6 linked regions of the Oryzias latipes genome follow. The protein of the gene in region 2 binds, or shares a complex with, the protein of the main gene of each other region. Links are inferred from orthologs where the notes say so. Each region holds a gene or a part of one and is shown on either strand. Other genes may lie near its edges. The genes, in order: taf11, taf6, taf5, taf8, taf12 and tbp.

Region 1 (5,183 bases), on a different chromosome or scaffold from region 2:
GATGTCTTCCCCCTGTGACCATAGCCGAAGATCAAACCCTTCCGGCTTCCGTTGACACACCTGGACACAGTGTGGGGTTTCCTTTGGGTTGTGGATAAAGTACTCCCAATAGAAAAAGAAAAAAAAATGTGGGTTTTTTTTTCCTCCTTTGAGTTTTTCAGCCACCACAAAGCAGGTCCAGCAGAATCTATGAATCTCTGACACATGAAACCGGTTTTTTTTCTTCCAAAGAGATGTGGTGTGTTTTTGTTCCAGCTTTTTAAAGATAACTTACATAAATAAAAGCTGCGCGTGCACGTGCCAACAGAAACTGGCAGAAAAATACCAGAGCTGAGTCTGAGCTAACAAAGAAGCTGCTACGTACCGCGCTGCTTTTGGTTGACTAATCCAAAAAATATATGAATAACATCCTCGCCGTTAATGTTTGGCTAGGCAAGAAGAGACAATGCCGTCTCTCGGTTCCCCGCTGCGTACCTGAGCAGGCTGGAGAGCGGGTGAGAGGAGGCACCGTGGCCGCCGCTGTTGGCGCTTCCACCGGTCCCGGACAATCCGCCAGCGGTTTGTCGCTTCCCGGACAAAAGCTTCTCCACCGCCGCCAGGTTTCCCGTACGCGCCGCATCCAGAAGCTCCTGCTCTTTCCCCATTGCTGCTACCAGACGGGGGGAGAAAAAAAAAAAACAGGAGGTGCGGGGAGGAGAAGGAGGGGGGTTGCTTGTAGTAAAATTCCTCTGTGACCCTCTTCTTCTTCTCCCAACCTCAAGTTATTCCTGAGAGCTACTATGCGGCAGGGAACAAAAGCTCCCTCCAACCAGCGGCTCCTTCTGTCCCTCTCCCCGGTGCTGCTGGCGCTCAACGGGCAAAAGTTTCAGTCAGCAGCACGGCACCAACCACCGAGCAAACTTCCTCTGACCAGTCCTCCAAGCGTCGTCCGTCACTTCCTTGAAACTGCCCTTTCTTTCTGCATCTCCAATCCAAAGCTCTTCAGTCAGACACACTCAGATTCCCTACCACCGCCGCCCTTCGCAGATTAATAAAACATATGGACGGGGAAAAGCAACATGGCGCTTGGCAGGATTCTATGAGGACATTGGAGATTGTTTTATTGTTCCGTTACCCCAGTTGGTTTGAAAATCGAGAGCTAATTTTCTAACCGGATAGTGTGCAAATCGCTTACTTTTCAATGAAAAGAAATAGCAATGTGTATATATGAATACATTTAAATGAAATAGACAAATATGTAACCTAATATTTTTTGTTCAAATGAAAATACGACCTTTTCACTACTTTACATTTTTGGAAAATGTCTATTTATTAAAAAAGAAAATTTTTTTAACACTTCACTATTTTTTCAGCTGACCATACAAAATCAAAAACATCATGTTTCCTGTCACATTGTTATTTTAATGTATTGCAATATTTTGTGGAGTTAAAAAAAATTACAGGGACACACGAGTAAGATAAACTATGTTAGAGGTTGCATTGTAAATGATAAATGAACAGCTACAATTATGTAAAATGTAATAATTGTAAGTATTATTTTCTTGACAATATTTGTTGTTGTATTTCCTGCGTAACTTTAGCACAGAGTTTGTTTTTTTTTAACCGTGACAAGGTGGCGTAAAAAAACAATGTTTTGTATGTTCTATTGGTCTTAAAATATTCTAGTTTGGTTTCGTTTTTGCAATTTTCTTCTATTTTGTGTTGAGTTTATACATATATATATATATAGAGAGAGAGAGAGAGAGAGAGAGAGAGAGAGAGAGAGAGAGAGAGAGAGAGAGAGAGAGAGCAATTTGACACATTTTTCATGGACAGTACTAACTTCAACACATTTTGACATAAAAAAAGAAACATTTAACGCCTTGTTAATAAAGTTTATTCAAAACGGAAACGGAAGCACTTGGGTTTTTTTAGGCTATTATTCGATGGTAGATGTTTACCAGGAAAGCTAGCTTATCTTCTTTAGTTTTTTGCCTTTCTATGTAGTACTTATAGTTATTTATCCATTGTTTATGTAGACCTTTTTTCTTTTTGACATAATTACCGGTGTGTGTCGTTTAAGGACCGTAGACTACATTAGTGCACTATAACAGCTAACTATTAGCTGCTAGTGTTGCGGCAAAGGGCTTTGTTGTTGACGTCTCTAGCTAGCTGTAGAGGAACGTGCATGAGATACGCAGTTTTCATCCAGAATTTATTCAAATACGCCGGCTACACAGCTGAAACTAAAGTCTCGTAATAGCTTCTTCGTTGGTGTTTGCAGACTGCTGTTTAGAAACTTAGGTTATGGCAGACCCTGCACGGATAAAGCCGGCAGAAGACAAGTCTGAGAAGGCAGCAGCATCCAAAGGGGAGCCGTGTAAAGAGACGAACATAAAAAATGAAGCCATCGCAAAAGAATCTGCAGACGAAAAGAAAGAGTTGTCCGCACAAGATCCATCCACAAGGGAGGTGAAACATGTGAGTAGAAATGACTGTGTTCAAAAATCCTTTGTGGAAGAAAAAAAATCTAAGCAAAATCTAGATGAGTGGAGAATTATTTAGGTTGTTAGCAGTACAATTGAGGAGAAAGTTACAGTCTAATGCATAGATCTATGGAAGTTTGACATAGACATACAACCAATTCTGGACCAAATCTGTTATCAAAAATTGGGGGGAAACTGATGTAATAAACAATCCACAATATTAATGGTTGTTTAAATATGATACTCGTGTTTTGGTTTTGTGCAGAGAAAAAGAACTTGGTACAATATGTCTTTATTTTCATTTAGAACATTATAGTAATTTTGGAGTCAAATATGTTTGATGCATATTTGAATTAATGGGCTTCAAGGGGTTGAACATTGATTTCCAAGACAATTAAATTGGGACCCAAGGTAAATAACTAGATAAGCCTGAAGAAAAATGTACAAAATCCTGAGTATTTATTAACAATGTTCAAGCAAAATATTTTCATTGAGGAAGTATTTAACTTATGTATTATTTTTATTGTATATACAAAATAAAACTGACTCTTTCTTAGCTTTGACATGCAGTTCATTTTTTAATTATAAAATAACTTTTGATTGACTAAATTTGGTTGAAAAATAAACCCTTCATACTTGATCACATTGGTCTACCATTGCTTTTTTTAAATCCAAGTCTTCTTTTGTTGGGTATGTTAGAGTGTAGCAAACTTACATGTAACGAGCTTCACTTACATCCTCACATTGTATTCTAAATAATTGTGCATTGAACAAACACAACATTAAAAATGGGAAGAAGTACTAAAAATTTAGGAAGGGAAATCCATTAAAGTGTAAGAAGACTTTAATCATGATGGGTTTTTTTTCTGAAAAGGAAGCTGCACCTGGAGATGATGAAGAAGAGGGAACCTCCGGTCAGCCTCCTGCAAAAAGGCTAAAGGTGGAGCCGGATAAGAAAAAGGAGAAAAGGCAGAAAGTTGACGAAGATGAAATACAAAAGATGCAGTAAGACTGCCGTTTTTATTTTTTCCTGAAATATTCCATGGTGCTGTCATCTTTATTAATTTCACCCCGTTTCTTGTTCTTCCTGGATTCTTTTAGAGTTTTGGTGTCTTCTTTTTCTGAAGAGCAACTAAATCGCTATGAAATGTACAGACGCTCTGCCTTCCCCAAGGCGGCCATCAAGAGGGTGAGCTGTCTACAAAAACTAATTCTTTTTCCTCCCAAAAACGTTCTTCTGTCATTCTTGTGGCTTTTTTGGTCGACCTCCAGCTGATCCAGTCAATCACAGGATCGTCAGTTTCCCAGAATGTGGTCATAGCAATGTCTGGTATTGCCAAGGTTTTTGCTGGAGAAATTGTCGAGGAAGGTGAGTGTTTAAGGCAACAAATAGTTTCTAGTATTATGCAGCTTCTATCCATTTTCCTGGAAGCTTAACATTTTTGCGTCTTTTGTTTTTCGATTCACAGCGCTTGATGTTTGTGAGAAGTGGGGGGACACGCCTCCGCTTCAGCCCAAGCACATGAGGGAGGCCGTCCGAAGGCTGAAGAGCAGAGATCAGATTCCCAACACAAAGTATAAGCACATTCTGTTTCACTGAGACCGTTGACCTGTGGGTTAAATGAGGATGCAGGTGATTAAAACAGCCTCAAGAGCCTCTTGTCAAACTCCAGCCACAGAGGCAGGCGGACATTCTTTTTCCAAGGACTAGTTTTTTTGTGTAAATAAAGATTTTACTCTCAAATTTTTTTTGGTACGATTTGGGTTTTAATTTTAAAAAAAAATCCTATGTGGACATAAGCAAAATTGATATTTCAGACGTTTTCTTAGTGTATTAGAGGTTCATGTTTATAAAAGGTTTGATATTATGAAAGGATCTTATAGCATTTACTTTGTTGTTGAATTGGTCATATTTTTTAGGTCTTGTGTTTACGGTCAAATCTGGGTTCAGTCCCCGTCTGAAAAGGAAGTTTCTTCCTTGCTCATCAACTCTTTCCCAATTTTGAGAAAATCAAACGTTTGGCTTTGTTATTTTGGAACATAAAACGTCTTCAATGTGATATTACTTAAGTGCTCACAGAAACATTGACTACCTCTTTGGTATAAACTCACTCGGTGAACAGCAAATCTTTTCTACTGGAAAGAAAAAAACACAGCAACATCAAACTGTGTTCAACAGTTTATTTTTTTACACTTAAAATCTTTACAGCACACTGATTTTGGTTCACAGAACCAGTTAAAGTTTAGTCTCAATGGAAGTGATTCTACCCATAGAAAAGTCAATGTGATTATTTTCTTTTTCTTTTTTAAACCAGCTGACAAAAATACTGTGTACAACATCTGAGTCATCTGATTTTCAAACAAGTGCAGTTTCCAGTGAATTGCACTCACACAGTACAAACACCTCAGTATATGCATGTGCAGTTTGATGGAGGAAACACCACCTTGCATTGAGTCACTGTTCACCTCCTCCTTGCATGGCACAGAAGGGTGGGTTAGGCTGCAGGAGGAGGAGGAAGAGGAGGAGGAGGAGGCCCTCCTGGAGTGCAAAAAACAAAACCAAACCCCTTTAGTGTAACATGCTATGGGTCTAAACCAAAAGCACCAGTCGATCAGAGGAAGAGAGATGCTACTTAACACTGAGGCCCGACAGTGAAGAGGAAAACTTTACAGCTACATGTTGAATCCAGCGTGGCACGTTTCAATTAGTACCGTTAA
Region 2 (5,123 bases):
TAATTTGGAATATTGACCAACAGAGTCTTTTGTAAGCAGGGACAAAAGTAAAATAAGTATCAGGTAAAAAGTAATAAGTATAAGTAACCAATGGAAATGGCTTTTGACTCTTCTCGTACCTCTGTGATGACGCCTCCTCTGTAGCCTTTTGAAACATACTGATGGTGCTTTCCATATCTGCTGGCTTGGACTTATACTGTGCAGCTGACTCAATACTTTGCTGTCTCTTCATAGTTTTAAGCTTTCTTTTATTGGTCACTTCTACTTTCATGGCTCCAAGTAGGTCCAGGAGGTTTTCTTTCTCACTCTTTCCTGTATCCACTTTAGGCTGTTGTGATTTTGCCAGAAGCTGTTTAGAGTTATCATCTGCCTGACGGTCTGCGGTCCCTCTGTCTTCAGTCTTTAACACGCGTTGCTCCTCCTTCTGTTCCGGCAGTTTCGTTTGGCTATCTATAGATGTGCCAGCATTGTCTTTTTTTTCACACAATCTGACTGAATTTGTGCAGAAAGTCTTCAATCCAACTTTGTTTAAGGTTCTGTAGAAATATAAATACCAAAGTGCAGTTAATGCATCTTAAAATAGGAATGACAGGAATGCATAAAAAATCAAATATGATGGAATGTTAGCATACTTTTCTACTTTACATTAGAAATATTTGTTATGGTGAATCACTTCACACGTACAATCATAGCTATAAAGAACTCTTCTCCAACTTAAGGATGGGAAAAGGATTTGAGCTTATTGTGAAGCCACTTGTATCTCAGAAACATTGATATAATTTTGTCACCAGAAACAAAATTTTTCAAAAGTCAAATATGAGTTCAATGGTCTTTTGAAAATTGGTCTTTTGAAAATTGACAACAATTTGGGTTAGATCTAGGACTTGATACGGGGAGATTTGAAAAGCTGCAAGCTAAAAATAAGTCATTTTTGGACACTTATGACATGTGGGCTTTCGTTTGAAAAGATAATGTTTGGTTACAGTTCTAATTCAATTTTGGTTATTATAAATACAAAAAAGCACAGCATGTCGTTTAGCATTTAAATAAAGTAGTGGTTTTGAATTCAAACAAATTTAAGTCTAGAATTTCACACAGTCCGGCAAGTTAAAACACAAATGTCCTTCCGGGGATCGAAAAAGCCAAGAAATAAGAAGCAACATAATCAGTTTTTTAAGGGTCAAGATTTTCTTTTAACACAAGTATTACCACATTTGTTGTGGCTCAACGATATCATGCTATTATTATCGGGAGTACTCCTATTCCTCACCTGAAAACATTATCACAGTTACTTGATAAAAAGGACTCGTGAACGTACAGTACACGATTTCGTGCCACAATCGTTGTCCGGGATATAAATTGGTTCATATTTGTTTCTTGAAATGTCCTTTCACGTTTGGAGCTTTCATCCGTGGTAACGAGAAAAAGTCACCCGGAAAACATTACTCCAAACACTAGTTCCGTATGAACGTTAATTCGAGCAAAAGCTATCTTGCTAGAAAATTTGATTTTCATAATTTTGCCATTTTAAGCTATGAGCGTCACATTAATTAAAATGTACAAATGTAAAACGTGTTTCAATAATAAGATACCTATTTTAAAATAACAAGTCTCCTGATTGTTGTGTCCACAACTCTCGCGATATTTCGTCCGCAACGTGACTCAAAATGGCGATGGAACATTAGCGCTAATTTACAGACGGATGGCTCTGCTTCAGCCAGGAAATAAGTTTTGTTATTTACATTGAGAAATGGGGATTTGCAAGGAAAAAACGGGGTTACGCTATTGTCAGTGTTGTAAATACTGATAGTGTTCATTTGTGGAAATCCTGGCCATAACTCAGAAGAGGAAGGACAACTTCTTACAGGTATAAACGTCAAAAAGAAGCTAAGTTGTTAGCATATAAGCTAACTTGCATTAAATTTAGCGCTCGTTTGTAAATGCACATCTTAAACAATGTGCAGCTGACAGTGATCCTAAAATTGGAAGAACTTTTATTTACTTTTAACTGCAATTGCGTTTAGGAAATCCCCCGTTTTAGTTCCGTCGGGGGGTTAACCCGCTCTCTGTGGAGGAGCGGTCTGTTTGTGTTTGTAATGTATGAAATCATTTTTATGAACCGATTATCATTTTAGCCGATTGGCCTTTTTCTTGTTGCTTTTTAGGTGAGAGATAACTCTTAACACGAATGAACCTTGTGAGACGGTACATAAGAATCGGGACATCTGTTTTATCCAAATAGTGAAGACCGCCTTTAGCTTACTCATTTGAACATCGAGTTCTTAGCAGCATTGATTGTTCAACGTCTGACACAAAAAAGTAACCGGACCTTCAAAACTACGTCTAAACGCATAGCTATTTGAGTATTTTTTACTTTTTCGTAGCCCGATTATATTTTTGGCTTTTGGCGCTAATGTCTGTGTTCTACTAGGGGATCATTGAGATCTTTGACAGCGTTAAAGATACAGTCACGGGAATAATAATAATGTGCTTCAATCATCATTGATTTTCGATGTCATTTCCAAAGAGTGTATTTCAAAGCACTTGAATTGACTATTTTTGAAATATTTCATCAGACAGGTCCCCCAATACATATTTTAGCAGTTTTGTTTACAGTGAGGCGTTTAAATTAAAAAGAAAATAATAGAAAGTAATAAACAACAAAACGTTCAAAAAGCGCAACTCATATTTGGCTAGAAAAAACAAAGATCACACATTTTAAGTGAAACTGCGTTTTAAAGATAATAGATATAGATGCTTATTATTGAAAAGCTTTAAATTAAAGCAATTACAACAAACAAAATAAAGACTTATTGAATTAATTGTAATAATTTCGGCAGATATGTTTATCAAAACGATTGATCCAGTTGTGGGGGGTTTTGGGGATTGAAAAAAAATGTTTTTTGGTCAAATATGTCTTGTTTTCTCTCAAGTGCCATCAAATACCACCGGGGTTCTCATAACCTTGCTAGAAAACTACTTTTCTACATACCATACTTGACACAGATATTCTCACTTCCTGCAGTCTTTCTTTCTTTTTTGGTTTCTTGTTTCACTGTAGGAAACTTTTATTACTGTGGTTTAACTTGCAGTTTATACAGTTCTTTGACTGTTAGCATGCTGGATGCTCACAACACTAGTCTTTCTAGGCTAAAGTAAAGGTGTGATGTTTTCATTAAATGAAGATAAGGTCCACGAACATATTTCCTTCTTTTTTCTTTTTCTTCGAGATATAAAATTTTTTTTTCCTAGTGTCTCATTTATAACAAATAATGCCGTAACAATAAGATGGAGAATGAAAAATATAATTTTAGACTTCTATAAGCTCCAGTTTGTGTCTGGTTTCAGTTTACAATGAAACTTTTTGTATGGCCCTGCTTTGTGTTGACAGCCATGGCGGAGGAGCGTCGGCAGAAGCAGTGCTCGGTCACCCTTCCCACCGAGTCCATGAAGGCCATGGCAGAGTCTGTTGGGGTGGGGCAGTTACAAGAGGAAAGCTGCGTCGCCCTGAGTGAGGAGGTCAGCTACAGAATCAAAGAAATCGCGCAGGTAAGAGCTCTGATGGTTTATGGAATATGTGAAGCCGCATACAATCCCTTATTCTGTCTCTTTTTGCACAGGATGCTTTGAAATTCATGCATCATGGGAAAAGACGTAAATTAACTACCAGTGATATAGATAATGCCCTCAAGCTGAAAAATGTGGAGGTAAGGTTTAAATATTTTGGAACACATCCATATTTATCAAGTTTTGGGAAACCCTGTTTGTTTTATATTCTGTGCTCTAATTAAAGTCTCTTTTATAGCCTCTGTATGGATTCCAGTCTCAGGAGTTCATTCCTTTTCGCTTTGCAAGTGGTGGAGGGAGAGAGCTTCACTTTTATGAAGAAAAGGAGGTCGACCTCAGTGACATTATTAACACACCCCTCCCCAGAGTTCCACTAGATGTCTCTCTCAAAGGTAGAGCGACCGTTACAACCTTTTAAAATCACAGTTTTTAATCTTTTAAACGATTTATCTGAAAGTTCATGGTTTGTTCTCTTTTGGAAACTCACAGCCCACTGGTTAAGTATTGAAGGAGTTCAACCCTCAATTCCAGAAAATCCCCCTCCAGGTTCGTCCTGTTCTAACCGTCTCCCCCAAAGGAAATTGAATGCTTTAAGGACAAAAATGACAACCTTTTATGTTGTTTACACTTTTTTAGCAACAAAAGAACAACAAAAGACAGAGTCCACGGAACCCCTTAAAGTGGTCAAACCAGGTCAGGAGGAGGAAGGGGCGATTCAAGGCAAAGGTCAGGGTGCAACAGCTCCTGACGGCAAAGGTCGGTATCAATTATTTCATTTTGTTCCAATTTTTCTTTTTGCTTCTCTTCACCAATAAGAAAGGGTTAATAATTTGGGTTATTCCTGTTTTAACGTGTGTTTCAGGAAAAGAGAAAGGTTCGATCAGGTTGAAACCACGCAGCACTCATGAGCTGTCTGTAGAACAGCAGCTGTACTACAAGGAGATCACAGAAGCCTGTGTTGGCTCCTGTGAGGCAAAGCGAGCAGTAAGTCCTGCAGATGTTGGTATAGATGTTTTATAGTAAAAGCAAAAAAGCTCCAATATTCCCCCATACTGGTAAAATGTTACCTCAGCTTGATGATTCATGGGACTTTTTCTTTATGTGTTCACACAGGAAGCTTTGCAGAGTATAGCCACTGATCCAGGACTGTATCAGATGCTTCCAAGATTCAGCACATTTATATCTGAAGGAGTGAGCGTGTTTCCAAACTCTCCCAGATTTCAATGTGTTTCTAAAGCACCAACTGTGTCATAACTTGGTACAAAGTCCTGACTCTGCTCTCTTTTCTCCTTAAAGGTTCGGGTTAATGTGGTGCAGAATAATTTGGCGCTTCTGATTTATCTCATGCGAATGGTCAAAGCTCTAATGGACAACCCCACTCTGTATTTGGAAAAATATGTAAGTGAAGAAAAGAAATCTACTTGTTATATTTAGAATGATGTATTCTTACAGTGCATTGTTTTATTTTAATTATTCATAGCTCCATGAGCTCATCCCCGCTGTGGTCACCTGTATTGTGAGTAAGCAGCTGTGTTTGCGGCCAGATGTTGACAACC
Region 3 (5,201 bases), on a different chromosome or scaffold from region 2:
CAGAGCATCCATAGCTGTCAAATACGTGTTACCATCAACATCATTGTTGTGTCGTTCCCTATTTTCATCTCTCCTCTCTCTCCTGTATCTAGATAAATTCTCCTTACTTTGACTTCTCACAAAGGTTTTAGCCAATATTTCAGCTTTGTCCGCATTCATTATTGCCAAGTCATTACCCATCTTTAATACTGGGTATTGTTACTCCCTACTTATCCCTTCATTTTTCTAATAATTCCCCAAACTGCACTAACCGGTGTAGTTCAACCAATTATTTCACAAAAAAAACTCCAATACTCTCTTTTCACCTTTTTAATATCTCTTCTCACTTGCGTCCAAAGTCTCTTGTAGTTCAACAGGTTCTCATAGGTGTGCGTCTGTCTTAAGAGTTTCAAACCCTTATTTCGATTTTTAACTGCCGTCTTGCAATCTTCAGTTCACCATGGTATATTTCTCCTTGTCATAGTAGCTTTGCTCTTTAGAATTGTCCGTTTTGCTGCTGCAATTATTACATTTTCCACTTTTTCTTTCAAATTCTATAGAAATATTGTCCATACTGATGTTTGAGTGTTCCTCCTCACATATATGAGTAAATTCACACCCCAATTTGCTTTATGAAAAAGCCACCTGCCTTCCCTTTCATTAATTGATGGTTCTCTATCCCCACCAACCCTAGAGAAAAGAGGATAATGGTCACTCCCCATGTGCTGTCATGTAAAGCCCACTAACAACACCCTGCCAATACATTCCAAACACAAGTGAGATCTAGTGCTGACATGTTCCCTGTTTGTTCATCTATCCTTGTCCCTCCCCAATCAATGAGACAGACCAAGTATAAATCATCCATCATGTCCTCCAGTACCTCACCATTAGCATCTGTCACCTTCCCCCCCCATAAAGTGCTATTTGCATTAAATCCCCAGATAAGAAGACATGCCCATTTTTCCTTTGAGTTTTTCGTTTATTTTAAGGTTTTTGCTCTGATCGCTTATTTCCCTCTGACTTTTATTTGATCTTTATGTTTTCACTTTTATCCCTCTTTTCATTTGACTATTTTGTTTATGCTCTTGTTGCTTTCTTCTCTTTGGTTTTTCTGTTCTTTATGTTTGTGCTCTGATTGCTTTTTTCCCTTTGAATTATCCGTTGATCTTTCTCTGTTGATCTTTATGCTTTTACTTTGATCCCTTTTGTATTTTTTTCGTTTATCTTTGTGTTTTTTCTTTGATAGCTGTTTAGTTTAGTTTTGCTTTGATTGCTTTTTTAACCGTTGACTCTCTTTGAGCTCTATGTTTTTGCTTTGATCCATCTTTTCCGATTGAATTTCCCTTTTGATCTTTATATTCTTGCTTAGATTAAAATTTTCAGTTGATCTTTTTGTTCTTAATCTGAACGCTTTTTTCTCTTTTTTACTTTTCCTGGGATCTTAATAGTTTTGCTTTGATTGCTTTTTTACCCCATTTGTTTCTTTCTTTGATTTTCATGTTTTCGCTTTGATTCGTTTTTTTTTGTTTGTTTATTCTTTAATCTTTTATATAATTATTTAAAGTTAATTTCAATCACAGAGACAAAAAAAACTAGTTTGATCAGAGGAATTTACCCATTTTAATAAAAAATATTAACAACATTGTAATATCAGCTCAACAAAGGCTGTGTCATCTGATGATCTCATGAGCACAAAAGTAGGAAATTATTAAAACGTTTAGGACCTCAAATGTATTACTTCTAACTAGACCACTATTTTATTTTATTTTGTTTCCTTGTATGGATGTATCATTTTGTGTATTTCTTAAAAAAATGTAGTCTTGAAGAAAAAAATTTGCTCAAGTTTTTATCATATACAGTTCTATCAATTTTGGCCTTAAAAATTGTTTTGATTTTTTTCTAAATCATAGACACAGTTTGAATGATAAAATGTCAATAAAGGTTTATTTAAAAAAAAAAAAACAAGACAAAAAAAAAACCCGGAACCGCACGAGCCGTCCAGGAGGGGGCCGGGCTTCTCACACACATGTCACTCTGAGAACCAATCAGATTTGCTTATCTTGCGCAGTCAGTTCTTCTCGTTTTTCAACCTCGCACATGCGCACTTCATTCTGAAAATGGCGGCCGTGCAGGGTGGAATGGTCGACGAGAAAGAAGAAGTCGACATAAAAACCGAACCGCAGAGCGACGGGCTCATGAACACAAATGCGACCGACGGGCGACAGCTCTCTCCGTCCCCGAGCTCCAGCAGCTCGGCTGGGAGCACCAAAAGTGCGGCTGGGGCGCCGGAGGACCAGCAGACGCTGCTGGCGGTTCTACAGTTCCTGAGAAAGAACAAGCTGACGGAGTCCGTTGAAATTCTGCGGCGTGAGGCGGGACTGCCCGAGGATGCGCTGGACACAAAGGGGGCGGACTGCAGTGCGCCCAGCTCGGGCGGCACCGCTGGCGGCGTGGACGGCCTGGATGCGGGCTCTCTGCTCAGCCGGGTGGCCGTGTCTTCCTCCGCTGGAACTCCGGCGCCGACCAAAGGTATGACGCTCCAAGCGGGACTCAGCCCGTCCACCGGAACTTTGTTCGCTCCTCATAAAGCGCGCGCAACAGTTGTAAAAGAATCGAAAAGACACGTTTAGAAGCTGCAAAAAGAACGTAAATTACACACACTGACAAACAAATGTGGACAAAACTTGATCGCAACATACGTCCCGGGGAAGCAGAGAGGTGGTCAAACTGAGAATCCAAATTAACAAGAACACAAACTAAAACCATGAATCTTTTTAAGTAATAAATATAAATAAGTCTAAATACTTTATACAAATATTTGTGTCTGTCACTGTTCGTTTTGGTCTACAGCTGACCTGATACAGTTTAGTGTTGCACACAAATAATCAGATCAATTGAGGTGATCAGGATCACACACACAGCAGAATATCCTGTGATGAAGTGCTTTAACAAGGTTCACACTTCTCAGTCATCTGACAACTTCCAGCATTTTCACACATTTGATTTTGTCTGTTTTTTACATTCAGAGATGTGGCTACTCAGAAGACAGGACAAAGCCTCATTGTTATTTAATGATAAATAAATGAAGATGGCAAAAGCAGATTTAGCAGATTGAAGAGCTCCAACTTTGAGACTATAGATGGGATTCATTAGATTCCAGAAAACCTGAAGTCTTTATGCACACATGATGTCAACAAACCCTGAGAATGGACTGTAAACCAGGTGATCGTTTTCCTGAAATATGTCAGAGTTGCTATCAGGTAAACGGGTTTGATTCTTAGACATCACCTTCAATTTCAATCCCAGTTTAGATGAGTTCATCCTGGCTTTACCGTTGAAACCAGGTAAGCTGCAGATCCAGCAACAGGTCCATAGTTGAAGGGTCTGTGAGTCTTTCTGGGCTGCTTCGCGGTGGGGGTTCATCACCTCTGGATTCTCTCAGCAGCAGTCGCAGACGATCAGCCCGACGTCAGTGTGGTGCTGTCAGCCTACAGCCAGCAGGGAGACCCGGCTCTCTACAAAGTTTACTACAGCGACCTGAAGAAGTTCATCGAGTCGGTGTTGGACTGCCACCGGGCAGAGCTGTCGCAGGTCTTCTACCCGCTCTTTGTCCACATGTACCTGGAGCTGGTGTACAACAATCATGAGAGTGAAGCCAAGGCCTTCTTTGAAAAGTAAGTCCCTTTAAGGTTTACGTTAAAAAAGTACGCCCTGCTCCGCGCGCCTTCTCGTCACGGCCTCGTCCGCAGGTTCAGCGGGGATCAGGAGTGCTACTACGAAGACGACCTCCGGGTTTTATCCAGCCTCACCAAGAAAGAGCACATGAGAGGCAACGAGACGCTGCTGGACTTCCGCACCAGCAAGTTCGTCCTGCGCATCTCCCGTGACTCCTACCAGCTGCTGAAGAGGCACCTGCAGGAGCGCCAGAACAATCAGATCTGGAACATCATCCAGGAGCACCTGTACATCGACATCTTCGACGGCATGCCCCGCAGCAAGAGCCAGATAGACGCCATGTCAGGCAGCTTAGCAGGAGAGGCCAAGCGGGAGGCCAACAAAGCCAAGGTGAGGGAAGTTCCCGACAGATTTAGCACGTTCCTCTGTAATCCCGTGAGAACAATGCCATCTGTTCTGGCTGCAGGTTTATTATGGGCTGCTGAAAGAACCAGAGATTGAAGTGCCCCTGGATGATGAAGATGAAGAGGCGGAGAACGAAGAGGGCAAGCCGAAGAAGAAGAAGCCAAAGAAGGACAGCATGGGTTCCAAGAGCAAGAAGCAAGATCCCAACGCTCCGTTGCAGAACAGGTGAGGTTCTGCGGTCAGCAGAGCAGAGCTTCTGCATCTTCAGGAGCTTCCGCCACAGGCAGGCTCTTCCTCTTTCTGTGGGAGAGCAGCTTTAACGTTTCCCAGGACGTTTCATCTGCTTCTGGATTATTCTGGTTTGTGTTTGGATGGCTTTAGTTTCTAGAAAAGCCCCGTCAGCTCCGTCCCCCTCTTACTGCTCACGGTGGGGCAAATAAGCTGCTGTTGAGGCGGGAATCCGTCTGAATGGCAGGTGTTACAGGACAGAGCTTAGAAAGTCTGAAAACATCAGTGAAAGCGGGGCTTTTGAGCTCTGAGGGCTTGTTTGGTTCACCTGCAGAGTTTCCCCTGTAGACAGTCTGTCACATGTGCACGTGTCCTGGCTGGACGATGTCACAGCTCCTAAACCGAAAACATTTCTGAAACATCCGTTTGTGCTTATTAGATTTCCAGAGTTTTCTTGCAGTCATTTCCTTTGAAAGTCTTGAGTAATCAACTTTTCATGGTCAGGATACCTCTGCCAGAACTGAAGGACTCTGACAAGCTGGACAAAATCATGTACATGAAGGAATCCACAAAAAGAATCCGTCTGGGACGGGAGAACCTGCCCTCCATCTGCTTCTACACCTTCCTCAACGCGTACCAGGTAAGCGGCGCCCACCGGCCGTTGTCTGACGGCTGCCGGTTCTCGTTGAGCTTTAGACTCCGTTGGACTTGTTCAGGGTCTGACCGCGGTGGACTTCACGGACGACTCCAGCCTGATAGCAGGAGGCTTTGCCGACTCCACGGTTCGGGTGTGGAGTGTGACGCCAAAAAAGCTGCGCAAGGTCAAGTCTGCAGCAGGTGGGTGTTGGGCGCAAACACAGGACAACGCCAGCGGGTGAATCATGCCGATACTTAACGGTTCTTCTTTTTGTTTC
Region 4 (5,156 bases), on a different chromosome or scaffold from region 2:
TCATTATACTTCCTTAAGCATAAAGTGGTACACTTTAACTTTAATTTATAAAGTATACTTGAGTTTAAATATAAGTATAGAAAGCACACTATAGACCATGTACATGCAGAGTATGAAGTATACTAACTAAATAATTTTTCAGACTAAACTGGAACATTTTAATTTTACAATATATGGATGGTATATCAAAGATCAACTTTAAGTATACTGCCTTACTTTTAGCATAGACGAAGTATACTTATAGTACACTAAAATAGACTATTATTTCTGAGGGAAATCAAGTTGTGTTTACATTCAAATAAAAAAAATTGCACAGCCTAGAAGTGATGTACACATGTTGGATTTCTGAATCACGGTTTGTCCTAATGCCATATTTGGACCAAACTGATGTAAAAATTATGCACATTTTCTGAGATATTCTAACATTTTCAATTGCCCTATATTTCCACTCTAAAAAAATTCCATAGGCGCATTGGGAACATTGTGGATTATTACAAGTCATAAACACATCCAGCATGAGTCATGGGTTCTGGCACGTTGTTATATGTTTATTGGATCTGTTGGGCAACAAATGATGTCACATACTCACTATAAGGAAAAAAACTGTCTCACTCCTTGTCCCACAAACTCCTGCACTTTAACCCAAAACAAGTGGTAATCTATAAAAAACAGAACAGTACACTCATGAATATGCATGAGTGTCCTCCACTGTGGGGGTTGGCTTCTTTCTGCTGTCCTTAAATTGAGATGTCTGCCCAAGTGTACAATGATTGTCCTCAATACACAGAGAAAAGTGAACTCTTTGGCATCCCCTTTAAGGTGAGCCCTGGCAAAAAAAGGACTTTGATTCCATATGAAGTTAAAAAACTGACCAAAATGTTCCTTTTTCTTTCTGCAGAGCCATCATGGAAAACAGTGGAGACATTGTACCATTTATGAAGGAGGTTCTGAAGGAGGGGCCCAGCAGGAACATGGTGAAGATCTACGCGCTGGGCTCTGCTCTGACCCTGCTGGGAATGGTCGGCGGAATGGTGGAAATGATTCTCCTGCCCTTTTCTGGGGACAGCCCTGCTGATGGCAAACAGACTGCTGAGCTTTTCATGGACAAGAAGAGAAGGGAGAGGCTGCTGCTGAAATCCCACCATGTCCAGATCCCCACTGAAGCTGAGGACATACTGAGCGTGGTGGTGCCTGAGGTCAAGCCCAAACATCTGGGCATGGTCACAAGGAGAAGCTCGGCCACTCGCCTGCATGCTTCCTAAAAAGACTTTCTCACTTTAACGGAAATGGACAATGGCAGACCTTTTTATTTTTATGAATTTCTAATTTATTTTAGTTTTGGTAAAAATGTTTTCTGCCCCTTTTTTTAACAGAATGTCAGATGTGGTGATACACTAAAAACTGCAGGACACAGTGACCTCAGGCTGCTGGGCAGCAGATTCTAATATGGATCAAATACCATGGGAAGGAAAGGGGAATTGTGCAATTCAATTTATTGTGTGTTTTAATAAAAATGGTGTTGTGCTAACCACTGGTACTCAGATTATAGGAAAATAGTGTCTACTTAAAGAGGCACATTTGCTGCTCCTGCACTGAAAAATCGTGAGAAATTGAACAAAACTTTTTTCTTTTAGTCTTGCTTTGATGGCATCAAGTATTTGGTGATTGAGGTACTTAATAGATGTCTGTGCAACAAGCCTGAATTAAAATGGGTTTTTTAATTGAAAATCACAATATTTTCTCTCTTTATTTTTTCAATTTTTTGGAAAAAAATATAACATTTATTCAGGATAACTTAACACTTTCAAAAAAAAAGTCAGATATTTGAATGCATTTTATGTTGTTTTTGTCATGAAGCCGTTTCTTTTCTTCCATCTGCCAGTGGATAAAAATGACAATGTAAACAATCGCAGTACTGTAGACGGACGTTAGGGGGCAGTGTCGGCTAAACTCAAGACATTCACAATCGTTTCCGTCTGAATGACGGAAGTGTCGTCATACATGGACAACTTATTTACTAGCGGTGGCTTATCGTGTCTAAGCGAATAAATCTGTTTAATTTAAAAAATTCACACCTAAAAAGGAGACATTTTTGAAGTTATTTCCAATGGCAGATCCCGCCGTGACGCCGGGAGGCGCGTTAAACTCCAGCGGGGTAAGAAAAGCGTTTGTGTTTGTCGTAAATGCTGCAGGTTTGCATCGGAAAGCTTGCTAGCAGCCACATCTGGATGCGGAAAGGTTTCATCGTTGATTTTGGGTTAAATGGCAACAAGTACGATTATACTCCACTTTGTTTTGAACGACTAGCTGAGCTAGCTTTAGTGTTTTTGTGCAACATGCTCTGTAAATGATTCTCTTCATGTTGAGACTATTGTTTCGGACGGAGTATATCTATGCTAACTAAGCCGACTATTCTTGATGATGAGGTTTTTAGTTTTCTGAACCTCCTGAAGGTTGCAACTCTCTTTAATACCTCCGAGCCCTCCTGGACTCTTTAGTACTGCCCTAACAGCAATTCAAAATATAAATTCACCCTTATTTATAGAGCGCTTTTCCTGCTACAGAACACCTCGATGTGCTTTATACAAAGAAAAAAATGTATAATGGTAATCATTAACATAAATTGCATGGTGGCGCAGTGGTTAGGACTCTTGCGCCCTGGTTCAAGTCCCGGCTGTGGGAACCTGAAACAGAACGGGACCTTTCTGCTTGGAGTTCGCATGTTCTCCCCGTCCATGAGTGGGTTTTCTCCGGGGACTCCAGCTTCCTCCTGGCGACCTGTGCAGGATGTTCCCTACCTTCGCCAACGAGTGGCCGGGATGGGCTCTGTAGCCCCGTGACTCCGAAAGGGTCTTAACGGGTTTAGAAGATGAAATGAAATTAGCATTAACATAATAAATATTGATTAACACATACACAATCTACAAGTCTCCAAAATAAAAAATAAAATATGAGGAAATGTACCAAACTCCTTGGAAAGCTACACAGATAAGTTTTGAGTTCTGTCTTAAGCCTCTACATTGGATGAAGCCCTCACATCCACAGTGCTGAAATGTGGCCTCGCTTTCTGTTCTGACCTTTGGGACCATCAGCAGACCTGCACCTAAGGTCTCTGAGAGGGTCATCAACTAAAAGCAGTTCTGATTAAAACTGAAGTTCCATTTTTTTATTAGCATGAGACTTGTAGAAACTAACAAAAGAACCTTAAAATGGATCTTTATGCTCCCTGGGAGCCAGTGCAAGATTTCAACATTTCAGTAATGTGCTCCTTCTTTCTGACTCTGCTTAAGAGGTGCACAGTTGAGTTTAGAACAAGCTGCAGCCAATAAAGATAAAGATAATCTATTTTAGATGTTAAAAAAGTGTGGATTCATATTTCAGTGCTGGCTTTGGAGAGAAAGGGTCTCACTCAGACAATATTTCTAAGATGAAAAAATGCAGTCTGCATCAAAAATCCCACCAAGATTTCTGAGTTTATAAGTAATGGGTTTATAAGGAAAAATGGACCCTCTCTTCTCAGCTTCAGGGCCAAGATTTAAGAAATGTCTGTTTTGTCTGTATTGAGCTTTAAGAAAGTTCTCTCCAATCCAAGTTTCAACATCTAAAAAACAACTTAAAAGGTCATCAGTGGGTCCCAAGTCATCAAGTGTCTCCTGATGACATCACCAAGTTGAAGCATGTACAGGTTAAAAAGTGTAGAACCAAGGACGGAGCCTTGTGGCATCCCACATGTCAGTCTGTGTTATGACGCATCATTTACATCAACATTAAAATCTCTTCCTGTGAAATGAAATTCAAAACGTCTGGAGACCGTTTCAGTGATAACATCTGCATAAGTATTTCTTAGGAACTGTAAACACAAGCAGCTGCTGCAGATTTTTTTCATTGTTGTGTTTATGATAAACGAACAAGTTTTACTTTAGATTTGAGCTGCTGTTTTGTAGACACTACAGAGGAAGGAAACTGACACGTCACACAGTGAAGATATGTGCAGGGCGCTGAAAGCTAGGCTGAAAGGAACATTGGTGAGCAACAGTATGGTTTCATGCAAAGGCTGAGAACCACAGATCCAACATTTGCTTTTAGGACGCTTCTGGAGAGGAACAGAGAAGGTCAGAAGGAGCTGCATTGTGTCTTTGTAGATCTAGAGAAAATGTATGACAGAAAACAGAGAAAGGAGCTGCGGTCTGGATGAGGAGTCTGGAGGAACAGAAGAACGTTGGAATTATGCAGGATATGGATGAGAGCTGGAAGACGTTGGTAAAAAATGTTCTGTAGGCACGACAGAGGAGTTCAAGGTGGAGGTGGGACTGCACCAGGGATCATCTTCGAGCACCCTCTTGTTTCCATGGTGATGGACAGTCTTGACGGATGAGGTTGGACAGGAATCTGTGTGGATCATGATGTTTGCAGATGACATTATGATCTATAGTGAGAGGTAGCAGGCGGAGGTTTCCTCTGGAAATGAGATGAATGAAGGAGCGGAATTCGAGTGGAACAGGGAGTAAAGGTGGAGGACTTTAAGTTCTTTGGGTCAAACAGTCCAGATCAACAGAGAGTGTGGGAAGGAAACGAAGAGCTCCCTCTTCATCTCTTCCCCTTGGAACCTCCCATTCCAAGGAGGTTAAGACAGGTGAAGGAAGGTTTCAGGTGTGACAAGATTGTTAGCAAGAACGAAAGGAAAGGTGTATAAGTCTGTGTTATGATCGAATAGATATCTTTGTCTTGCATCTAAATAGTCTGCATACTTTTTTTTTTCTTTTAGCGAGGGTCTGGAGCCAAAGCAGCTTCAAGCCCTGCAGAGAACTACCACCTGGCCCGGCGCCGCACCCTGCAGGTCGTGGTCAGCGCCCTGCTGACTGAGAGCGGCTTTGACAGCGCTGAAAAGGCGGCGGTGGAGACGCTCACAGAGATGATGCAGAGCTGTATGTAACAGTCCTGAACTGGAACGTTTAAAGCCAAAGAAAAATCGGTTCCATTTGATTCCTTCATTTCTGTACTTTTATCATGAATTTTCCCTTTAGAATGTTTTAAGGTGACTTTTGTATTTTTGTCACAAACTGATTTTAAATGTGACTCAGTTAGGCCTTTACTGTTGACTATTCATATACATTAAAAATGTTCTCCTGATGAGTCACTGCTTTATTAAGTAAAAA
Region 5 (5,089 bases), on a different chromosome or scaffold from region 2:
AGAGATCACAAATCATTGAAGAAAAAAGTTCAGCGCAGTCTTTTGGGGTCTAGATGACCCAATTCCCAATGTTAAAGTGCCTAGGATAGCACAAAAGTAAAGGCTCATGAGTATTTGACATGGTCTAACAATAATTTCATTCTTGCTCTTTAGACTTAAATAGAAACCTTTCTTGTCAAGTATTAGGAAAAACGTTTTGAAAACTACTGGATTCTATGATAATTTTACTTAAAATTTCAATAAATATTTCATGCTTTCCCAACCTTTAATGTATTTTTGGCTAAATCTAACCGATCTGAATGTTCCTTAGTACCAGGCTGAGGAAAAAGGTTAACCATTTTATGTGTTTTTAATGTTGTGGCTTGTCATTTTTAAGTCTTTCACCCCTTGACGCCTGAATTTATTTCAAACTATTTTTTAAAAATTTCTTATGGTTTTGCTTTCATGTCGGTGCTAAATTAAAGTCGTCAAGGAGATTAAAAATACAGCTTATTAGTTAAAACATTAGGGACGCCATGCACTTAAGTTCATTTGTTATTTTTTAACACCACGGGTAAATTTATTTTGGCAACAATGCGCCGTTTACTGCTAAACTTTTTGTATAAACAGTAAAAAAAATTCAAAGCACACTTTGTTACACTTGCAAAATAGCTACGCCAAAGTCATTTTAGATGCGTTTCAGATTTGGCCAAGTGTACATCAATATGTTGAAAAGGATTTAAAAAAAAACTGAGGAGCAGCAATGGTCGCCATTCATAAGAATTCTTCCAGCAAGTGTTTATTGACAAGACTTACAATGAAATTCTACCAGTCTGTTTAGTGGGAAAAAAAAAAACACACACCAAAGTACTAACATTGTGCAATGACTCCACACACTCAAATTCAGGGAGACGTTACAATTGAGCGATATTTAATGTCAAAGACAGACGACCTCATCAAAACGCTTTCTACTGTCAATAAAATAAAATGACAAACTCAAGTGGAAATGAAAACAATTGCATAAAAGAAAAGTTAAAAATTTGAAAATATACAAATTGGGTTCAACCTAAGGGCTTGCCCTTTTATTTTTTAGTCGTCTTGCGGATCAGTGCCATTCTCTGAAAAAGAAACACATGGGGAGCATTAGACTCAAGAAAAGGGAACTAAAATTAACAATTACGGCAATAATATGACTTCACAAACAGAAAAATTACTCTATCGTTTACCTGTTTATGAGCTTCTGTGGTGCAAGCCTTCTTATACGGTCGAATTTCATCAGAGCCATAACCAGGAATCCACATGTTCCATTGACGCTCTAAAATACATAAAAACAACACAACAATAAGACAAAAATCCCTTAGTTTCCACTAAATATTTATCAAACAAAAAGTACAAAATAAAAGGGCATTTAGCCTGTAAAAAACATACCTAGATGTAACTGAACGTCTTTAACCTCCAACGTGTTTGATTTGCGATGGCGTGCCAGCTGACAGGCTGCTGTCACAACACTTTCTATGAAGTCATCTGCAATTTGTAGAAGCATCTGAGAAGAAAAAACATATGAAGGCCTCAAAGGAACTCAACAAAGTAAGATTTTACACACAAATAAAGATATGTTCTGATTTATGAATGTAACAAAAATCCATGTTTTCTACGTAACAGTTTGAAATGCTGGACGGACGTAAGCATTGAAAATATTAAATAAGGTATACAACAGGCATGTCTTTTAATAGTCTTTATAAGAGGTTACAATATTTTTTTAATCTGACCTCTTCAACATCCTCATCCAGTTGCTCATTTGGGTCAATTTCTCTCACCAGGTCCTGCAGTTTCTTCTTAGAGAGGACCTGAAGACAAGAGGAAAGAGAAAGTGTAACACTTACACATGTGAGTGTAAGGTTTGTGTTTCACAATTAAACAGTATCCCGAAGTAGCTGTTAGCTGCAGTCACACAATAGAAATATTTTCAGGTAAAAAAATAAAACAAAATACAAAGCATCAAATTCAAAAGCGTACATGGTAGTTGTTGCAAAAAAAAGACAAATAGATGAAACAGTTTTACATTAGATAAAATATAAACAATATCTCAAATAGAATACATTTCAAAAGTTATATATAAAAATATAAGGACATAAAAGTGGTTACAGTGATCCCTTGCTATAACGCGGTTTACTTTTCACGGTTTCGCTACTTCACGGATTTGCATCGTGCATTGTGTTCTTCATTCAAAAAAATGAATGAATGAATGAATGAATGAATTCATTGTAAGAAAAAACAAAGGTTTCTACTTCACGGATTTTGCCTATCACGGGTTCTTTTTGGAACGTAACCCCCGCGAAAAACAAGGGTTTACTGTATACTAAATACAAAACTGAAAAATACTCAACCTGAGATCCTTCTGGGCTGCTTCTACCTGCAGGACCAGCAGGCAGGCTCTTCACTATTATTGGGGTGCTATTGGCCATTCTCAGTGATCAAGGTCAAGGAGGAAGCGCAAAGCAGTTCTTTAAGTTACAAGACGCTGGTGGCCCGGGTAAGGCTCTCCCAAATCCTGCGTGGCAGTCGAAAGCACCGCTTTTTCAAGGAACCACAACCTTAAATTTGTAGAAAAACAGTACAAATTTCAGTGAAATTAGGAAAAAAAGATGATCCATTCCCAAAAACATTTCCCTCCCAATTTAGTTTACTTCGGTTAACTGCATGTAGCTTAAAGCAGCATTTAATAAGCCTAAAAACTAGCGTTTGCATCCAATACAAAATGCAAGTATGTTTTAATTAAACTAGTAAATCTGATGTCTGCTTCCCCTAATTATTTACTCCAAAACAGAGACCGGAAAACGCGCGCAGCAGAAAGCGCTTAGCTTAACGCTACACGATGTCTTAAGGGCTTTAGGCTAATTTAATAAAATACAACAAAGTAAGCAAATGCCATTATTACATAAATTCTTTAGTACACAGATAAGAATCCAACGTTAACAGATTTGTTAGTGCTAAAAACAATAGCAGCTACAAAGCTTTGAAGTTAGCCTTGCTAAATTCAGCAGCTAATTTCTCAGTTCGGCGTTCCTCAAACAAAATTCTAAGTCGTGGCAGCTTTTTATTGACTCACCTTTTTAAATTAACACTATCTGTCCATTTTCGTCATTACTTCGAGGGAAAGGTACGTCTTTGACACTAAATTTGTCTACGAACAGGCAACAACCGTTCCAGAATTCAGGGAGCAATATTCGGAACTTCCGCTTTTGCCCGATTCTGTTTCCGGTAGAACCGTGTCCACGCTACGCTGCCCCCTGTCGGACTGTGTGTGGCACTTCAATAACACGTGAACAAAATCGGCCTCTGTGGAGAAGCACGGAAAATAAAATATATAAATACAATAAACGAGAACGCTTGTTTTTTAGATGGCCTGTCATTCAGTTGCTTTATAAAAGATTGTGGGTTATTTTTTAAGTTTTTGATAGGAAACATAATAAATATTAAGGGTGTTACGATTCATTTTAAAAAACGATTTGATCTGTATCATAATTTGTGGTTGCTAATAGGATTCAAAGTTGATATCGGTTCATTTTGAAACATCCAATTTCATCCAATTCACTGACCTAAAATTGAGCAAAAAAAAACAGCCAGTGTGACTCGGTACTGAACAGATTCCTTGTTGTATTTCTTGCAAGATAATCAAATGTAAATTAAATATGTGCACAAACAAACAAACAAACAAACAAACAAACAAACAAACAAACAAACAAACAAACAAACAAACAAACAAACACGTAAACAACAATTAATAGTAAATCTACAGTCAAAATTTAGTTTCATAAAGTTCAGCCCACGTCTGTTTTTCCACATCAAAATAAAATAATCTGAACAATATTAGAACATTCTACCATTCTACTATGGTCACAAAATTCTTTGCAAAAAATGAAAAATGTTTCAAAGCATTGGACTGTAATGACGGCTCGATCATTTTTTGCTGCCATTACATGTGTGTTGTCTGTTGTCTATGACTATTAGAAACAATTTGATAAAGGTAGATGTCAATTCGTTTACCAATTTGCTTTAGACAGATCGATCTGGTTGAATCACAGGAAAACAAATCGATTAATCTAGATTGGTCTGGTTGCCAATATTTATGATTTTCTTTACGTCTCAATACTCTGTATACTTTCACATCTCAGTGTTTATTTTCACGCCATGCTGTTGTTTTATTGGAAATATATTTTTAAACAAACTTTTTTATAATGCAAGATGATGTAGCATACGCCATCGTAGGCATTGTCTTTGTTAGATGTAAACGAGTTTTCCCTTTTCTTTTTTTCCCTTTTTCATTTTAATATAACTGAAGGTCTTAATTAAAAAAAAAACAACTAAGATTACACTAAAAACAATTTTTTTTATCCCCCGTGAGCAGTGAAATAAAATAAAGCGTGAAATGTTGGCTTGATAGGTTTTCCACATCGCACCAAAAAGTGTGAGAAACATCGTTAACACATTTTTTTCATGATGGCTCTTATGAGGAAGGAAAGAAAAAAAAACACACCCGCAAAGCTCAGGTTAAAACAGAAGTGGTTTGGTTCCCTGAGCGACGCGTGACGCGCAGAGAGCAGTCGTGATTATTGGAGCAGAGAGTGGACAGCTGCGTTTCTGGTTCACACAGTCATTTCCCATGTCAACATCCATCAGCAAAACTCTGTCATTAAATCTAAAAACAACGATAACGCTTATAAAAAATAAAAAAAAACAAAAACAAATCTTACTTCTTTCTTTTCATTTTTAAAGTGAAATTGACAGAAAAGTTTGGGGGCTTTTGGACACCAAACGAAAGCCACACCTACAGCGCGTCAGATAAAAACGCAGGACGCTTTCATTTCACTTTAGTCGCTGCTTGAAGACTTCTCGACGTTTTCTCAAGTATTTAAGTTAGTCTTTCTTTCTGCAACAATGAGATCTTTTCTTCTTGCTGCAGTTGTTGCCCTGATCCACAGCAGTCATGGTAAATATGTTTTTTGTACATATGTGATAGTCTTAAAATAACTTTTTCTTAGATTTATTTATCCTAAACAATTATTTTTGTAAAAGCATTGATCATAATTCTGCCACATGTATGTTTTGT
Region 6 (4,006 bases), on a different chromosome or scaffold from region 2:
CCAGGATGTCCACTCTGTTGGTGGCAGCAATCACCTATGAAGGATTTACAAGAGCACTGTGGTCAGACCTGGAGCACAACATTATTAGAGTGCATGCTAAAGTTTAAATGTAAAATTTAGCAACCATTTTAAAAGATTAAAGAATATAATGCTGTAACTAATTACAATTAGTTTTACACAAATGTTTACATGGAAAGCATCTTTACCTTGACCTGCATGTTGGGCTGAAAACCGTCCAGCTGGTTGAGCAGCTCCAGCATGGTCCTCTGCACCTCTCGATCTCCAGCCTTCTCGCTGTCGAACCTCTTCGTTCCAATAGCATCCAGTTCATCGATGAAGATGATGGACGGAGCTTTCTCTTTAGCCAAAGCGAAGGCATCTCTGACCAGCTTGGCGCCATCTCCAATGAACATCTGTACCAACTGCGGACCTGCCAGCTTTAGGAAGGTAGCTTTGGTCTGAGCAGCACAGGCCCTGGCCAGGAGGGTTTTTCCTGTACCAGGTGGGCCGTACATGAGAACCCCTTTGGGTGGCTGGATGCCCAGGTTCTCAAACTTCTCCTTGTGGTTCATAGGCAAGACTATAGCCTCCACCAGCTCCTGGATCTGCTTATCAAGGCCGCCTATGTCGCTGTACTGCTCAGTGGGACGCTCATCCACCTCCATGGCTTTAACTCTGGAGTCGTACTCTGTGGGCAGGGTCTCCAGGATCAGGTAGGAGTCTTTGTTGACCCCAACAAGATCTCCAGGTTTCAGCTTCTCGGCGTCCACCAGCCCGATCACCGGCAGGAAGTATGTCTGCCGGGTGGAGGTTTTAATGACAGCGCACTTTCCTTTTCTCTGGGAATCCAAATCCACATTTGCCCCATCTTCCTCTTGGTCGTTGGGATCCACATCCAGCAGCTCAATCACGTTCGAAACCAAGTACGGCAGAGTTTTGTTCACCTTTATCTTCTCCGTGTTTTCTTTGATTTTATCCTTCATGGCCTGGAGCTCATGAGTCACCCGAAGCACTTCGCTCTTCATGATCTTTATCTCGCTGTCGAGGAGACGAGTGCGCTGGACTATCTCCTCTGTGGACATTTTTAACACTTCTTCTCCGATTCCATCTTCCACCTCGTCCCAAACTGATTTGTCACTCAGCGACGCCATCTTTGCTCTGTCTGACTGCGCGCTGTGACACGCCGGAAGTTAAAGCTTCTTCTTCCGGAAGGAGCCAAGCATTTTCTTCCCAGACTGAGCGTTAGATAAAACAAGCTAAGCTCGCATTATCTTGTTTTTGTGGTCACTTCAGCTCCAAAACGATACCAGTAAGTTGCCTTTCATTAACAGGCTTTTCTTTCAACACATATAGTTTAGTTTTCAACTTTTTTTAACGCGGCAAACGCTTTACGCCACAGAAAAGGGTTTGTATCCCTATGTGTATGCTAGCTTACTTTAGCTATGCAGCTAACTTCAGCTAGCCGGTGTGTTTAATTTGAAGGCTGTCAGATGTGCTACGAGAGAACTGATCGTCTATAGACAAGAATTAATGATTTAAAAAAAAGCATTTGAAAGGCCACACAATGAGGTTCACGGTAACTGCAGACCTCGTGACTCAGAATATTATGTTTCTTTTATGTTCGCGCTCTTATTTCTGTTCTAGTTTTGCTAACTTCTCTTCTGTGTACACACACACACATCTTCTGTTTTTCAGCGTTCTGGACTCAGCATTGTGGAAAAAAACAGGGGAGATTGTGAAGTCTATTTTTATTCTAGTGGTCTTTTTCTACGTACATAGAGCCCTCTCAATTCAAGGCACCTGCTGCGAAAGTGGATTGGACAACTGCCTAATAGTGGTTGGCAGTGTTGGAACGGGAGAAGCACAAAACATGGACCAAAACAACAGCATCCAAGCCTTTCAAGGCCTGGCTTCACCTCCGGTATTAATCTCCGCTTTGGTTTCTTCAAAATGGTTTTCATAAAACAAACATTTCACAAATATAATATTTCTAATTACATGATCGGGTCATCACAAAATATTGAGAAAAATATTGATAAGTTCTCAATTTCAACTTATTACATATGTTTTGGTTAGTTTTGAATATGAGTTACTTTTATTTAAATTTGATATATTTATTTTCAAGATATTTATGACTGAAATATAAATTTCATTAAGGAAATCATGATTCTTTTATTTTGTATTTCTGTATTGTATCTACGATTACATTTAATCAGAGCATGATTTCCGGTTGCTTCAGAAAGTCATACTGCAGGTCATATTTTGCATTACTGTAAATACTGAGCTTTTAAAAAAAAAAAAAACTTTCTTCTAATTTAACAACGTGGTGGTATTGTATTATGCAGGGTGTGATGACCCCAACCATGCCAGTGTTCAGTCCCATGATGCCGTACGGCTCGGGCCTCACGCCCCAGCCAGTACAAAACACAAACAGTTTGTCCATACTGGAGGAGCAGCAGAGGCAACAGCAACAACAACAGCAGCAGCAACAAACACAGCAGTTGAACACAGGTAAAACAAACTTTTTATTCATATTCTTTTCTCTTATGTTGAGGTGAATCTAAAAATGTATTTAATTTACTGGATTTGTGTTTTTTTACTAAGAAAAGATAATTGGTATTGTCTCATAGGTCTTCCAGGAGCATCAGGACAGACTCCACAGCTCTTTCATTCTCAGCCAGTACCAGGTTCAACTACCACTGCGCTACCGGGGAACACCCCGCTCTACAGCGCTCCGGTGACGCCTATGACCCCCATCGCTCCAGCAACACCTGCCTCAGAGAGCTCTGGCATCGTACCACAGCTACAGTACGTTGCATACGATTCACAGAGAGATGAGAACATTGACTAATACTGCATACCCATTTACAAATTTAACTTTTTGGGTTATACATGAAAAAGGAAATTGAATTTATTTTAAAAATGGATACATTTAAAGAAAATTCGTTTTAAATGTTTTATTGTTCTAAATGTTTTTTTACACAACTAAATGCAATGTTTTTATTAAAATAACGTTGTCCCATTTGTTTTTTTTGCCACTAGAAACATAGTTTCTACTGTAAATCTGGGTTGTAAATTGGACCTGAAGACTATTGCCTTAAGAGCCAGGAATGCTGAATACAACCCAAAGGTAATCCCAAACTGATCATCTTTTCATGTTTTTTTAACTGTTAGCTTTGATTTGTAAGCAAGTAAGGCAAATGAATTTATTTACTTTGGGCCATCATCCGTCTAAACCTTAAACAAAACAGGCCTTATATTTCCAAAATACGGCTACGTTTGTAAAGTTAGAAAGCTCTACAACTGAAGTGGGAAAAACATTGTAATGTTGCCGTTACTATGCCACCTTCCAGCGTTTTGCTGCAGTCATTATGAGAATACGAGAACCAAGAACTACAGCTCTCATCTTCAGCTCTGGGAAGATGGTCTGCACTGGAGCCAAAAGGTAAGAGTGGGACTTGTTTTTTAGCTTTATATGATTTAAAATGTTTTGCAAAATGTACTATTTGATGTCAAATTTGATGTCAAATTATTTCTAATGATAAATCCAGCAGTCAAAAATTTAGACAGACTTGCCCATTGATATTAATGAATGACTTAGTCCAGGGGTCGGCAACCTGGGGCTCCGGAGCCGCATGCGGCTCTTTCATCCCTGTGCTGCAGCTTTATGGCTCTATGTGGTTTTCCTAGACTAAAACAACCCATTTCTGCGTAAAATTAATTACATTTGCGTTAGGGCGCCCCTACATCCTGTCAACTTGCTGGTATGATGACCGTATGTTGCGCTGTCTGTGTAGAACACGCTGAGGGGGGGGGCTGTAGGCGGGGGAAAACAACTTGGAGTTGCAGAGGAACATGTAGAGAGACGGGGGCGGGGCTTAGACTCACCGCTTATGATTCCAGACCCGCAACAAACTAAGAGGTGCTTCCTAATAAAAAATAGTTGTCATGCATGAAATGGATATACTTTATTGGGTTTACTGAATTTATTGAGAAAAAAATAAAA

Evidence for each region.
Region 1: taf6 (region 2) and taf11 share a complex: the UniProt entries of both Homo sapiens proteins name them as parts of the TFIID basal transcription factor complex. The link is inferred for Oryzias latipes from reciprocal best matches to the Homo sapiens genes TAF6 and TAF11.
Region 3: taf6 (region 2) and taf5 share a complex: the UniProt entries of both Homo sapiens proteins name them as parts of the TFIID basal transcription factor complex. The link is inferred for Oryzias latipes from reciprocal best matches to the Homo sapiens genes TAF6 and TAF5.
Region 4: taf6 (region 2) and taf8 share a complex: the UniProt entries of both Homo sapiens proteins name them as parts of the TFIID basal transcription factor complex. The link is inferred for Oryzias latipes from reciprocal best matches to the Homo sapiens genes TAF6 and TAF8.
Region 5: taf6 (region 2) and taf12 share a complex: the UniProt entries of both Homo sapiens proteins name them as parts of the TFIID basal transcription factor complex. The link is inferred for Oryzias latipes from reciprocal best matches to the Homo sapiens genes TAF6 and TAF12.
Region 6: taf6 (region 2) and tbp share a complex: the UniProt entries of both Homo sapiens proteins name them as parts of the TFIID basal transcription factor complex. The link is inferred for Oryzias latipes from reciprocal best matches to the Homo sapiens genes TAF6 and TBP.

What each region holds. Positions count from the first base shown.
Region 1 is NC_019865.2:19,680,944-19,686,126, forward strand, and holds taf11 (transcription initiation factor TFIID subunit 11), read left to right. Parts: upstream 1-1,898; 5' UTR 1,899-2,286; coding exon 2,287-2,460; intron 2,461-3,339; coding exon 3,340-3,470; intron 3,471-3,566; coding exon 3,567-3,654; intron 3,655-3,737; coding exon 3,738-3,834; intron 3,835-3,934; coding exon 3,935-4,065; 3' UTR 4,066-4,213; downstream 4,214-5,183. Other genes in the region: anks1a (ankyrin repeat and SAM domain-containing protein 1A), read right to left, coding at 475-644. UniProt on the Homo sapiens protein: The TFIID basal transcription factor complex plays a major role in the initiation of RNA polymerase II (Pol II)-dependent transcription.
Region 2 is NC_019872.2:15,547,746-15,552,868, forward strand, and holds the start of taf6 (transcription initiation factor TFIID subunit 6), read left to right. Parts: upstream 1-1,664; 5' UTR 1,665-1,867; intron 1,868-3,391; 5' UTR 3,392-3,393; coding exon 3,394-3,549; intron 3,550-3,620; coding exon 3,621-3,707; intron 3,708-3,805; coding exon 3,806-3,959; intron 3,960-4,056; coding exon 4,057-4,113; intron 4,114-4,203; coding exon 4,204-4,323; intron 4,324-4,429; coding exon 4,430-4,551; intron 4,552-4,680; coding exon 4,681-4,758; intron 4,759-4,863; coding exon 4,864-4,965; intron 4,966-5,047; coding exon 5,048-5,123. Other genes in the region: mrps31 (28S ribosomal protein S31, mitochondrial), read right to left, coding at 120-536, 1,271-1,368. UniProt on the Homo sapiens protein: The TFIID basal transcription factor complex plays a major role in the initiation of RNA polymerase II (Pol II)-dependent transcription.
Region 3 is NC_019859.2:29,660,812-29,666,012, forward strand, and holds the start of taf5 (transcription initiation factor TFIID subunit 5), read left to right. Parts: upstream 1-1,952; 5' UTR 1,953-2,096; coding exon 2,097-2,508; intron 2,509-3,421; coding exon 3,422-3,653; intron 3,654-3,728; coding exon 3,729-4,044; intron 4,045-4,120; coding exon 4,121-4,284; intron 4,285-4,791; coding exon 4,792-4,927; intron 4,928-5,003; coding exon 5,004-5,124; intron 5,125-5,201. UniProt on the Homo sapiens protein: The TFIID basal transcription factor complex plays a major role in the initiation of RNA polymerase II (Pol II)-dependent transcription.
Region 4 is NC_019865.2:25,321,916-25,327,071, forward strand, and holds the start of taf8 (transcription initiation factor TFIID subunit 8), read left to right. Parts: upstream 1-1,967; 5' UTR 1,968-2,107; coding exon 2,108-2,155; intron 2,156-4,765; coding exon 4,766-4,925; intron 4,926-5,156. UniProt on the Homo sapiens protein: The TFIID basal transcription factor complex plays a major role in the initiation of RNA polymerase II (Pol II)-dependent transcription.
Region 5 is NC_019874.2:22,542,079-22,547,167, reverse strand, and holds taf12 (transcription initiation factor TFIID subunit 12), read right to left. Parts: upstream 3,243-5,089; 5' UTR 3,089-3,242; intron 2,574-3,088; 5' UTR 2,445-2,573; coding exon 2,367-2,444; intron 1,827-2,366; coding exon 1,749-1,826; intron 1,523-1,748; coding exon 1,408-1,522; intron 1,295-1,407; coding exon 1,206-1,294; intron 1,098-1,205; coding exon 1,062-1,097; 3' UTR 747-1,061; downstream 1-746. Other genes in the region: uncharacterized protein LOC101164588, read left to right, coding at 4,918-4,969. UniProt on the Homo sapiens protein: The TFIID basal transcription factor complex plays a major role in the initiation of RNA polymerase II (Pol II)-dependent transcription.
Region 6 is NC_019861.2:24,481,923-24,485,928, reverse strand, and holds the start of tbp (TATA-box-binding protein), read left to right. Parts: upstream 1-1,206; 5' UTR 1,207-1,309; intron 1,310-1,695; 5' UTR 1,696-1,870; coding exon 1,871-1,921; intron 1,922-2,345; coding exon 2,346-2,511; intron 2,512-2,630; coding exon 2,631-2,808; intron 2,809-3,042; coding exon 3,043-3,130; intron 3,131-3,353; coding exon 3,354-3,445; intron 3,446-4,006. Other genes in the region: psmc3 (26S protease regulatory subunit 6A), read right to left, coding at 1-34, 207-1,151. UniProt on the Homo sapiens protein: The TFIID basal transcription factor complex plays a major role in the initiation of RNA polymerase II (Pol II)-dependent transcription.